Linked DNA regions of Mus musculus: regions 1, 2 and 3 are each reported to be linked to region 4. The links are microRNA targets in miRTarBase. Many come from high-throughput screens and were not tested one by one. Region 4 holds a microRNA gene; each other region holds the end of a gene's coding sequence.
Evidence for each region. Region 4 holds the annotated microRNA mmu-miR-451a (AAACCGUUACCAUUACUGAGUU, at 881-902, shown strand). A microRNA usually pairs through its seed, bases 2 to 8, with sites in the 3' UTR of a target mRNA and lowers its output. Matches are read on the target gene's strand: a 7mer-m8 pairs with bases 2 to 8, a 7mer-A1 pairs with bases 2 to 7 and ends in A, and an 8mer does both.

Region 1 (3,138 bases), not on the chromosome of region 4:
TTGAGTCTTATATTCAGTCAGAGATCCTGAGACAATGAGGAATTTGGAATGGAGACTGGAGGTGACTCAGTTTGGTTACCAACACCCATGTCATATCTGCCTGTAACTCCAGTGCCAGGCAGTCCTCTGGCTTCCACAGGCATGCATACACAGAGAGACAAATGATATATATGGAGGTTTTTTTGTTTCTGTTTTTAAATTTGGGCGGGTGTGGGAAGAATCTGAAATGACTCAGTCTCTTTCCTTCCCCTTTTATTTTCTTCTCCCTCCCTTACCCCCTTTCTCTCCCTGTCTTTCTCCTATCTTTTTTTTTAACCTTTCAGAAAACCACGGCTTTTGGACCCTAAAAGGTCTGGATTGGTCATACTGCTTTCTGAAAGGTAAAAAAAGAAAAGAAAGAAAGAAATTGGGAGGTGTGAAGGTTGGTTTGGTGGGGACAGAGGGCTATCTTTAGTTTGGTACTTGTTTCTAGACCAGCTTGTACGTTGCCATGTGTGTTTCAGTTTAAAGTAACAGAACACACAGTTTGGTATTGTACCCTCAGAGGAAGTTTTTCAACTAGGAAGTAGCTGACCTCCTGTAACTGGGATGTACATCTGTAAAAATTAGATGTGGTACAGGGTGTGGTTGTACACACCTTTAATCCCAACAGTTGGGAGGCAGAGGCAGAAGAATTTCTGAATTCCAGGTCAGCCAGGGCAGTTACACAGAAAAACCCTGTCTCTTGGGGAGGCGGGGGGTGGGGGGGATAGGTATGGCCATCATTCTGTGTATGAGGGGGATTGGCTCCAAAATCCCTATAAATCCCAAAATCCATTCATGCTCAAGTCCCTAGATACTGTATTTACATAGAACCCATCATATCCTCTTACCTGTTTGTGGACGCTAGGGATTGAACATGGAGCTTCACTTATGCTCCACAAGCTAAGCTGTATCTAACCTGCAGATGACGTAATACAGCCATGCAGGGTGATAGTATGCAGATAGTTATTATAACCTGCAGATGACTTGTAATACAGCCATGCAGGGTGATAGTATGCAGATAGTTATTATAACCTGCAGATGATGTAATACAGCCATGCAGGGTGATAGTATGCAGATAGTGGTTAGACCCTAAAGAGCATAAGTACAAAGAGATTTCAACATGTTTCCTACACATGTAGACACATAAACACTCATGTGTAGTTTTTATCCACACCTGAAAAGATAAAGGGAATGAATGGACTATGTAGTAACTGCGTGTCTGAGAGGAAACAGAAGTCCCTGGCTACAAAGTAAACTTTGAGTTTAGGGTTGATCTCACTGGAACCTCCTTCAGAGCTAGTTTGTATTTCTTATTGGTTATGGTGTTTAATTTTCCCAGTTAAAATTGTTTTTCAAACTTATTTCAAATTTAAGAGTTTTGTTTTGTTTTTTAATTTTTATTAGCTTACAAAGATTTTTTTTTAAGGCCTGATCTTATATGGCTTAAAATGGCCTAGAGCTTGCTGTGTAACAAAGGATGACTGAATTTTTCTCTTGACTACATGTCCATAGAGGCATGCGCCACCACAACTTACATGATGGTGGAGATAAAGCCAAGGGCTTCCTGCATGCTAGGTTAAGGCTTGCGAAGTAAGGTACATCTTAACCCTTTAGGAGGAAGTATTTTGGGGAGGTAGAGATAAAGCTTAACAGTTCAGAGTGCTTGCTGCTCTTGCAGAAGACCCAAGTGTGGGTTCCAGTACTCGTATTGGGCTGCTCGGATCTCTTACACCACCTGTACCTCCAGCTCCAGGGACCCAGTACCTTCTCCTGGCCTCTGCGAAAACAGACATACACACAGATAATACAAGCGAAACAAGCTAAATATATTTTAAAGTTTGTTTTTTTTTTAAATATATTTCAAGTCCAATACTGCTTTCTCCTATCATGCAATTTTAGGGAGAAATACTACTTTACCTTCTGGATTGTTGTATTGCTTGGTAAAAGGTGTCAAAATTTAGGGATTTTATGAAACTTGTTTCAAAAGAGTTTTTGAGTGACCATGTGACAGCTCATGTAACTGTTGTGTTTATAATGTTGGGGCAACCAAAGGTAGTAAGGTCTCCCCGTATTGCAGAGTGGCGTGCCTGCTTGATAGGCCAGCCACTCCTGCAGCCTCTGCTGACTAGGACATACAGAGAGTAAGCAGAGAGTTGAATGTGGACATTAGAGCAGTGCTGCCCAAGAACCAGTAGGACAGTAGGACAGAAATTTTTTCTGTGAAATAAGAGGAAGGGTGTATTAAGGTAACAGAAGTAAACTTAAGCAGACTAAGGAAGAGCCATGGCTTGGAACATGAACTAATACGTCTTTTCCTTTTTAGAAAGACAACAAAGTTGCTGCATAGTCTACAAACAAGTCTTTGAAAATAGGTGACTCCTAGCTCTTCATGGTCCTGGAAAGTGCTTTCAGTCTTTGTGAAGAATGAAGAAGTGAAGTTGCTGTCTTGCCTGTCACCAGCACTGGGTTTTGTCTGTTTTCTGCTTCATTTCAAAGCTACACTGCAGTTGCTTTGGGGCAGGAAGGCTCGTCTTAAAACACAAGTATAAGTGTATGTGGAGTAGCAGATGGTTGTGATTCCTTGTTTAGAGTTGAACTAAAGCCAGCTAAATGGAACTGCTAAGTATTTTTTCATCACTGAAAGGATTTTCTTATCACTAATTAATTGTATTCGGCAATTACTTCCAATTGCCTGCAGATAGGCCGTGATACTGTGTTTTGAGCCACAGAAGGTTTTGTGCGTGTGTGTGTGTATGTATGTGTGTGTGCGCGCGCGCGTGTATGTGCGTGTCTTTTTCTTTTTGGAGATCCTATAATATGAGGTAGCTTATTTCGACACTTAATTAGGGTGCTGGATGGTAGAGAATTTTGTCAGTCAACTATGTACACACAGGTAAATACTGTTTCTTAGGCAAAGGTAACTTTTTTATATAGTTGTAAAATTCCATTATATTCCATTGCCAAAGAAACATTAAGAACTTTGTATAGCTGTATAAAAAGCAACTAATTTTTTAAAGAATAAACGTTTTAAAGTCAGCAAACATACGTGTCCTTGCAGAAGTCAGTGTGCTGAGGAGCAGGGATATGGGTGGGTCTTTCCCCTTGCTTTCCAGG
Region 2 (3,138 bases), not on the chromosome of region 4:
TAAATTAGATATATTAAGCTCTTGCGTCTCCCGACTTGGTAGAAAAGTTCCTTTCATGAGAAATCAACTTTAATGGCAAAATTTTTACATATCAGCAAAATCTGTTATATTTAAAACTATGTATACAGTACTTTTCTGTCAAAAACATCACACAGCTTTCAGTTGTCAAGACAAAGTAAAAATATGGTTGCATAAAATCACAAGAAAATATAAATTGCTGAAAAGATAATAAAAAAAAGATTAAAAATCATTTGCATTGACTCCCTTTACATTTTCAGTGTAAGAATTTGCAAACTACAATACATTTGTGAAAATCCTGTCCTGGGCTTGACATACTTAACTGAAAGTTGTCATTTCAGATATCCTAGCTTTTAAAAAATTTGACTGCAATAGTCTGCATTTATCATACTATTTATACAAGTGCAATATTTTAATGTCTTCAAAATAAAACTCGGTAACTAAAAGGAATCACAGAATAACTTATAAAAGAAGCAAAGATTACAAAATTAACAAATTTTAGAAGGTCCTATTTAGTTGGCTCCTCCTTTTGTGCCCCGTCCCCCCAACAGTTTATAGAGATATTCCTCAGTTTTATTTACAAATCTATAACTTTACAAATGCAGCCTTCTGTTCTACACAGCGGGAATACAGCGCTGCATTCAGACAGCATACGTGACATCAGGGAGCCCCACACAGAGGGCACAAACACACAGGTATAAATACAGTCAGGAACTCAGGTAAATGGAGTCTCCATTACTTTATACAGCATTCAATTCGGAGTTGAATAAAACAAGCCCCGAACAAAAAGAAGCATCATTTTTGTCCGGAAATCAGTGCATAAACTATAGCGTCATCTTTTATGCAAGCTATCATGTCCTCCAAATGCGTTCTTACATAAGTGCTGGACAGGTTTGGGGATGGGGCAAAATATTTTTAAATGAATGCAGTGGGGGGAAAAGTCTCTCTTACAAAGGGGGGATGGTTAATGTTTAAAGAAAATGCATTTTGTTTCACGTTGCTGGAGATGACCCAGCCTCACCACTGGGCTAGAGCCTCTGACCAATTTCCTAAACTTAAAGGAAACCAAATATGGCCAATATGACATTAATTATTAGCTCACACAATACCGGCTTTGTCTAGCGTGACTTAAATCTTCACTTACACCCATTATGCTATGCTACCACTAAAAGGAGAGAGGCATATAAATCAGAGATTGAAGAAAAATCACACTTCTTTAGCCACTCATTATTTTGAATTAAAACCTGAAATAAACTTGGCCAGTTTGAAGAAAGGATTTCTTCTACATCTTTTCAAAATAGTGTTATTAACCTGATTAAAGAACTGCAAATAAAATCAGGCTGTAACTTAAATGGAATTCTGGGCAGTTACAGCTAATCTGGAAAACCAGGCACTATCTGGAAATTATTGATTTTATAATGGTTTCAGAAGGTTTCTAAAGGACATTATTATTATTTTTAGGAAGTGCTGAAGTATTCAGGGCTGGTATATATATATATATATATATACCTTAACATCTCAGTGGTTCAGAATAAAAGCAAACATATACTCGAATATATGTGCATATCTGTATATTATACATGTGTGGATCTAGAGAGCAAATATGGCCAAACAGTAGTTGTAGGAGCTAAGTAGTAAATACACATGCAGTCACTAAATTCTTGCAACTTTTCTTTCTTTAAAAATTGTCCAGAATAAAATCAGGGGCTAAAACCCCAATCCTAGCATTCAGAGCGTATAAACACTGTCCTTTCTATGCACTGGATTGGCTTAGAAAATACCAAAGACATTCAACACTGGCTGACATGATAGCGTCTCTGTGCACTGACAGAAGCAACACGATTCACTACAGTGTGAGCAACTCGGCTCTTGGATCCAAAGCAGCACTTCATATATAAAAGGGCAAACCTGAAAAAGTAAATTCAGGGCTTGGAGGGTCTGAACATATAAATTCTGGGGCTTTGGGGGCTCACAAGCCAAAGAAAAATGTTAAATCCAGACTGCTCTCTGAAATGACTTACTACACAAAAATAGCATGTTAAGAGGAATATGGAAATAGTTCACAATGTAACCAAAAATGGAAACTAGTAGCTATTTTGGAAGTTAAGGAGCCCAGAAAACAGCATTATCTAATAAGGTCTATGAGGATTCCAGGCAACTCAATAAATTCATGAAGCTAATATAAAATACATCAACATGTACTAATATGTGAAGGCTTTATGGTAAATTTATGGTCGACTGAGACCTGTTACAGCAAATTCAAATGGCCAAAAGTCAAGTAAGCTTGAGACCTACAGTCCATTGTGTGTGTGTTACGCTGTGTGTACCTACTGAATACGGGATAACAGAGTGATCCTCATTCAATTCTGCACATCAGGCTTTTAACGATCAATCGTTTTCCAGTCCCTGTGCAAACTGCATTCCAAAAGGCCAATCCTCAGTTATATACACACATATATATAACTTGGTAAGTGGAAGTATTTGGCTATTATTTATTATGCATGCTTATTGCATCAAAGAAATAAGCAAAATTTTAGGTTTACTGTGCAAGAATTTTAATTAGATTTGCACACATTTCAAAAAATTCTATTGTATGACTTCCTGGTCTTGGAGCTACGTCGACAGGGGAGGAGTCGAGGGAGGTGACAGATGAGGTAAGGGAGACGTCTGAGGGCTTTCCTTGAGCTTCGGCATCAGAGTCACTCCTTTGGCAAGATCGATAGTTGCTGATGGATCCCGATCTCTGTGGAGTAGCAGTCCCTGATTTGGCTTCTGTAATCTCATCTGGGTGGAAAGAATTTCAATGTTTTATTATCTATTTCTCCCTCAAGTGTTTAAGCAGCACCTAAGTGAGACTACTAACCAGTTCTCCAAAGCACACTGGTTTTATTTACATTCTCAAATAGAGCAAGCGTGCCTTTGTAAAGCACCTTACCACTTCTACACACAGCACAAAAAATACATACAATGGCCAGTCAACATGGGATACATAGTATAGCACTCTTGACTTTCACACCAACTAAGAAACAGTAAACTAATAACCTGTAAATTAATATCACTGCTAGGAGATATTTATTAAAACCACAGACTCACTGGGTAGTGGCAAGCACACCTTTAGTC
Region 3 (3,138 bases), not on the chromosome of region 4:
TTGATCGACAGTGGAAGAAAATAAGTGCAGTTAGTAGACTCTTTCTTTCCTTTTTTCTTTCTTTTTTGTTGTTGTTTTGTTTTTTCGAGATGGTTTCTGTGTGTAGTCTTGGCTGTCCTGGAACTCACTCTGTAGATCAAGCTGTCCTTGAACTCAGGAATCTGCCTGCCTCTGCCTCCTGAGTATTTGGATTAAAGGCGTGCGTCACCACCGGCATAGTGGACTCTTTCTTAGGTGGGAGGGTTTCAGTTGAGAAGAGACATTGACAGATCCAGGAATAGGTGGTGGAGCAGTCATGGAAACTGAGAGAGGTCATCTTTGAGCTTTAGGTGGACTTAGATCACTAACAGCATGCGTATAAACTACTGCTGTCCTTTTACAGATCATTGAGAAGAGGAAGAGGATGGAAGCAGATGGGTAAGCGGCATCCCTCTTTGTCTTTGGGCCTGGTGAGAACTGTTCAGGATACTGATCCTATGCTGATCTACTTCTCTTTTGATTTCAGGGTCGAAGTGAAAAGACCAAAGTACTAATCTCTAGTTCCAGCTGTCACCACGTGGCTGTTCTTAGTTGCTTGCTTCTACAATTCCTCAGACGGTTGCAAACTGTTGTTGTTTGTGAAAGTTTATAAATGTTTATTGTATAACTCTTTATAGATCTGTGTCCCACATGCTAAGATTAATGGCAATGCAACACCATGTCCAGCATGTTCCATTAAATGTAGTTAAACCTGCTGTCTTTTCTGTGTTGGGCATTCCTTCTTAAGGGTCCCATGAAGTTCCGGAGTTCCAGAAGTTGTATTGAATGTTAGGTCTCATCTGAGGTGCCTATCAGCATATCAGAGCTGACGTTGGCTGCCAGTTCTCCCAACATACCTCAGTCCCTACCTGTTCCAGGATCCTCCTGGTGTCATACCCTACCGTTTACCTTTACCCTCAACTCCTGGGCTTCCCTTTCTTTCAGCTTCTCTGATTCTTATATAACCCATCCATTTTGGTTACAACTCTTTTTGGCCACTTGGCAGCTGAACCAGGTAACTCCCTCCCTCCTGTCACCTCCTTACATGGCCTGGGTTAGGATCTTGTTCATTTCACCCTTCCAAATGCCTCTGGCATGCTCTTCCCTCATCTACACTAAACCTCCACCGTATCTAGGAACAGTCAAGTCAAGTGTTTTCATTTCTTCTTTTCATTGAGTCTGCTGTGTTTTTCCTGTACTGATTGAACTAAGGCTGTTTACTAAGCCAGTTTCAGGGGAGAAGGGAAGAAAGAGTCACTGGTGGGCAAGAGAATCATCAAGTTGAATGGCCAGACCTATCTGGCCAGGGTCCTAATCCAAGAGTAGAGATTCTCTGTGGATTAAGATCATCCTGATAGCTTGTCACAGCTCCATAGGCTTGATCAAGCTCTTAATGAAGCTGTATTAATGAAATTCACCTGTGGAAACAAAATCCTTTCATGAATTTATGCCTTTTGAAGAGCACTAATAGTGTTGAGTTAAACTCAAGACCTTGGCTAAACACCTAGAGTCAAGATTAAGAGACTAATGGGTGGTAGGTACCTTGAGGATCCTTTTGATCCTTCACCCTGAGGAGTTTGTCAAGGCCCAGGGTAGGTCTACTAATAGTCTCCTTTCTGCTCTTTGCCAGCACTTTGGTCTGGGGTTCATTAGGTATTCATTAGGCGCTCTACTTTTTATGGCTGAATACTGAGCTCATGATCTGTAGATCCAAAGGAAGCTAGAATGCCACTAGGCTTACTTTGGTCATTTTCATCTTGATAGGAAAGGGTATTTTTGTTTTGGTGGTGTTGCACATCAAACTCAGCTCTGCATGCGAGACACGCACTCTACCACTGAAGCCCCAGCTGTAGGAAAGTGCTTTTTAAGGAACCCCACTTTGCCAGTAACGCTTAAGAGGTAAAAAAATGGGCTGTCTCTTCAACAGTACTTAGAGATGGCTTTAAACAAATGATGTCTTGGTCCCATGGTTGTAGGCCACAGTTCTAATTAGGAAAAAGTCACAGAGACATGATTCATATGGACACCTAGAGTCAAAATTAAGATCTGAGGGTTGACTATCAATTTAATATTGTTTCTGCAAGTACTCTTAATGCTCCAATCACGAGGCAGATAGAGCATTTCTGCTCTTTGAAACCCTTAACCTCACCTTATGTTCATTTTTTTATTTTCCTTTTCAATGGGTTCTCACTATATCTAGCTGGCCTAGAATTATCAAAAGAGCCTCTGTACTCCCACACCCGCAAGTAAAAGTGTTCCTTACCATGTTCAGCTCGCCTCACTTTTTAAGCTTTAGGTTCTCCATATGCCTTTGAAGGCATAGTTGCACAGAAATCTGAGCAGGCCCTTCTCAGCCTGTCACAGGGACTGCCCCACCATGCAAAACACTGTTATTATTGGGACCTTTGATAAAAGGAATACCCAGAACATAGCTGTCATGCTTGTTTTCCTGGTAGCCTAAGTACAATTTGGTCATGAGCTAAACTACAAATGTTCACTGTTTCTCTGGAGGCTAGAAGATGTTGGTGTGGGTAACAGTTTGAGCATGTGTGCAGGCCGCCTCCTGTTGATGGTCCCTGTCTATTAACTTTAGGGATATGTGGATTTCTGTTCCTTCTTGTGCAACCTGTCTGCTGCTAGCCTGGGTTTTAGGTATCACCAAGTCAGGAATAACTCAGATCTCTTAGTTCGGTTACGATAGGACTGGGTGGAGAGACGAATTAAGGGTGTTTCCAAATATGTGAAGCGGCTTGGGGGAGAGGGCAGGCCTTGAAGGTCACATAATCTAGCTGCTCGAAGCACAGGCTACTGTAGGTCAAGTAAAATGGGTCGGGGTGGGGGGTGAAGGAGCAAGATGGCATAGCCAATAAATTGGTAGTAGAGCAAACTTTTAGATTGGAGTTTAATCCCTTGAGTGTACGTAAGGGTGGAAGGAGAGAAGCAACTCCATAAGGTTGATCTCCGACACTCGCGCCGTGACGGGCGTGGAATTCATATCACACGAAAAAACCTGGCTGGGGGCCGGCGGAAGGGCATCCTCTGAAACCACACCTATACGTTCTGCAGTGCCTTTCTTCCTTAGCTCCTTTTTCTCTTGGCCTTTGTGTTTAAAACGTACTT
Region 4 (3,138 bases):
TGAAGGACGTGGTGAGGGTCTTTCTCTTTCCTAGCCCAGTGGGGTAGGCAGGTAACCTTCTTTGTGGGGTTGGGGGTGAATGGTCACCCACTTAGAAGACGGGAGGCAGGGTGGCGGTGTAGTGTCAGTGTTGGGGTTCTTGGCTAGCATCTTCAGCCTTCAGTTTCATTCCCAGCACAGGAAACTAAGCAGAAGATAAACAAAAAGGGAGCCAAGCCTCAGCTTGTCTCAGGAAGCCAGCAGGCAAAGAGTTAAGAAGCAGGGACTTCTAGAACCCGGGAAAACGTGCCCCACCCAGGGGAGGGGCCAGAGGGTTAAAAGCCAAGCTGCTTGAGTGAGAAGAGACAAGGCAGGCTCTCCCTGTGCAGAGGATTCCCTGGACGAGGCTCCAGCTCCACTCCAGCTCCAGGTAAGCAGTCCTTGGAGTGGCTGTCAGCCTGCTTATAGGTCTGCCCAGAGGGAAGCTCCTGCCTCACAACTTCGTTTCTGCCTGTAACTCTGGATCCCTAAGAGACCCGAGTAGACCTTAGCTTCCTTCTCTAAGCCACCTGGGGTTATCCTGGACCACAGGATCAGGGAGATGCTGCTCTGGGAGGGAAGTGGAGGAGCAGAGGTAGGGACTTAGGTGTCCCTGACTGACCCTGAGCCAATCCCCTGGCTCACTCCAGGCCTGCTGCTCACCTCCTCCTCCAGGACCTTGGCTGGGATATCATCATATACTGTAAGTTTGTGATGAGACACTACAGTATAGATGATGTACTAGTCTGGGTACCCCACCTCCAGAGCCTGCCTGGTTTGCAGCAGAGATGCAGAAGTACACGGGCTCACTGCTCGGCCTAATCAAGCCTGCTGACAGCTGTGGCACTTGGGAATGGCGAGGAAACCGTTACCATTACTGAGTTTAGTAATGGTAACGGTTCTCTTGCTGCTCCCACAAACTGTGCCAAGAAGAGCTCATGACCCTGGAGCAGACTGCTGGAAGAAAAGGACACCCAGGCTGACAAGAGAATGGGGTTGGGGGAAAGGGTACATTTTCCTCTTCACTGTGCCAAAGAAATAAAAGATAAGAATAAGAGCACTTGTCATTTAACTTTATTAGCATCCGAGGCTGGGTGGTTGGATGGGATGGGAGGACCTTTGTGAGTTTAAAGCTAGCCTGATCTATGTAGAGATAGCCAGCCAGTCAGAGTTGTAGGGTAAGAACCCGGTCTCAAAAAAAAAAATAATAATAATAATAAAAGAAAAAGGAAACACGGGTCCTTATGCAACTTCAAGGTGAGGAACTTGGGGGAGAAGAGAAAAATTGTGTTCCTACCAACAACTGGAAACTCAGGGCAAGAGTTTGGTTCCAATGCTAGCGGGGTGGACATGACTTAGAACCATGGGTTCTAGGGTGTGGTTCAGCATGTATCCTATACAACTGACTGAGACCCTAGGCAGAGGAACGCCCCGAGAACTGAGCTAAGTGGAAACATGGTTGGGCAAGCACTGTGCAGACTCGGCAATGCCAGGCTGGCTGGCACAGGACCTTCACAGGACCAAGGGCCTCTCCTCCCATTGATGACCGACCGACTAGGCCATCCTCTGCTACATATGCAGCTGTAGCTATGGGTCCCTCACAATGGAAACCAGTCAGTGTCCATGGCCCTTCCCAGTCCTGTAGACCCCTCTGACAGGGGTAGTTCTAGTCAGTGACTCTGCCAGCAGCTTGAGCAGGGATCCACTGGGAGAAGCAACAGAGGATGGTCATTTGAGGAGTTTCACAGAGAGGCGGATGAGAACGTCACAGTGGAAGATGTCCATGAGGTCCCGGCCCACCTCCTGTGCAATCTGGGAGATCAAGAGGCCCTTCTGACCAATCAGGATCCTCTGCAAGTAGTGAAAAGAGAGGCACATGGTTCTGCTCTTGGCCTCACAGATGGGGAAGAGGCCATGGGTAACACTGCTACCCTTCTCTGAGCATCCCTCACTTACCACATGAGATTCTTTGGGCACCAGAAGGTTCTGTTGGATCACTAGCTCTCCACTTGGTCCTTCCTCCCATATCACTGTCTTCTGTATAAGGAGACATCAGGACTAATCAGGCAGGCTCATCTCTGTATCTCTTGGTACCCAACTGTTCCAGGGGTGTGCCTGGTATACAGGCACTGTGTCCTTTTCCTCTGCCCACACCTGCTGCACACCGTAGGGCACCTCCTCAGGCAGGTACTCTAAGAGCTTCTCTCTGATTTTATTGGCACAGATCTCTTCGGGTGTCTGGCTAGTGAGCACACCACTGTGGAACTCCCAGGGTCCTGGCTGGGCCTGTGTCAGAAGGTATTGCTGTGGGAACAAAGGAAGAGTAGGTTCTTAACCCCCATCAGAACATTTGTTTATGCATGCTTCTAGGAGGAAAAGGCTATGACCCATCCTCATGTAGCCCAAGCTGACCTTAAAATTACTACATAGTAGCTGACTACAGGGGCGAGCTGCCACAACTGACTGAAACACCTTTAAGAGAGCATCTCAGGCAGATCAAGCTGGCCTTGTCCATCCTCGTTTGTCCAGGCTGGGAATGAGCCTCCAATCTTCCTGTCTCTATCTCCTAAATGCTATAGTAGCAGGTGTGCACCCACGTGTGTGTCCAGCTTATGTGGGGCTAGATACTGAATCCAGCACACGAGACAAGCATTCTACCAACTGAGATACATTCCTAACTTTGTTTCTGGTCTCTATGTTGCTTGGCTGGCCTAGAACTCACAATGGAAACCAGGTTGACCTCAAACTGAGTAATCCTTCTACCTCTGCCTCCTGAGTGCTGGGATAACAGCTGTGTGCCACCACCCCTGGCTGTTTTCTGTTTCCTGAGACAGGGTCTCATTGTAACTGAAGCTATTCTTGAATTCACTATGTGGTTAAAAATGACCTTGAAATCCTGATTCTCTTGCCTTGGCCTTTCAAATTCGGGGATTACAAACATAAATGACCAGAGCCAGAGTTTTGTTTTGTCTTTTAAAAGACAGGATCTCGGTGGATATCAGGCTGGTCTGGATGAGGCCTATCGTAACATGGTAGAAGTGGTGGATTATGGGCAAGGCTAACTGACCTTCAATGTGTTCACATCCTTGTTGTTTAGTGCTGATAACATGAAGATCTCCT

Region 1: the mRNA of Lsm14a is a reported target of mmu-miR-451a. The part of its 3' UTR that is shown has no 7-base or 8-base seed match.
Region 2: miRTarBase lists Prkaa1 as a target of mmu-miR-451a. The part of its 3' UTR that is shown has no 7-base or 8-base seed match.
Region 3: the mRNA of Ik is a reported target of mmu-miR-451a. The part of its 3' UTR that is shown has no 7-base or 8-base seed match.

What each region holds. Positions count from the first base shown.
Region 1 is chr7:34,345,168-34,348,305 of GRCm38, reverse strand. It overlaps Lsm14a (LSM14A mRNA processing body assembly factor), which reads left to right. Exons shown (of 11, transcript NM_025948.3): 10 at 324-380; 11 at 2,348-3,138. The coding sequence ends at 347. Among named protein-coding and RNA genes, the nearest start is that of Garre1, 33 kb to the right of the region's middle.
Region 2 is chr15:5,178,352-5,181,489 of GRCm38, reverse strand. Prkaa1 (protein kinase, AMP-activated, alpha 1 catalytic subunit) reads right to left here. Exons shown (of 9, transcript NM_001013367.3): 9 at 1-2,802. The coding sequence ends at 2,558. Among named protein-coding and RNA genes, the nearest start is that of Ttc33, 5.6 kb to the left of the region's middle.
Region 3 is chr18:36,756,902-36,760,039 of GRCm38, forward strand. It overlaps Ik (IK cytokine), which reads left to right. Exons shown (of 20, transcript NM_011879.2): 18 at 1-29; 19 at 383-417; 20 at 506-738. The coding sequence ends at 533. Among named protein-coding and RNA genes, the nearest start is that of Wdr55, 1.8 kb to the right of the region's middle.
Region 4 is chr11:78,072,306-78,075,443 of GRCm38, forward strand. It overlaps Mir451a (microRNA 451a), which reads left to right and starts at 865; the gene lies at 865-936. Eral1 (Era (G-protein)-like 1 (E. coli)) reads right to left here. Exons shown (of 10, transcript NM_022313.2): 7 at 3,086-3,138; 8 at 2,173-2,322; 9 at 1,975-2,055; 10 at 1,071-1,869. The coding sequence ends at 1,747. Mir144 (microRNA 144) reads left to right here and starts at 700; the gene lies at 700-765. It overlaps Mir451b (microRNA 451b), which reads right to left and starts at 936; the gene lies at 865-936.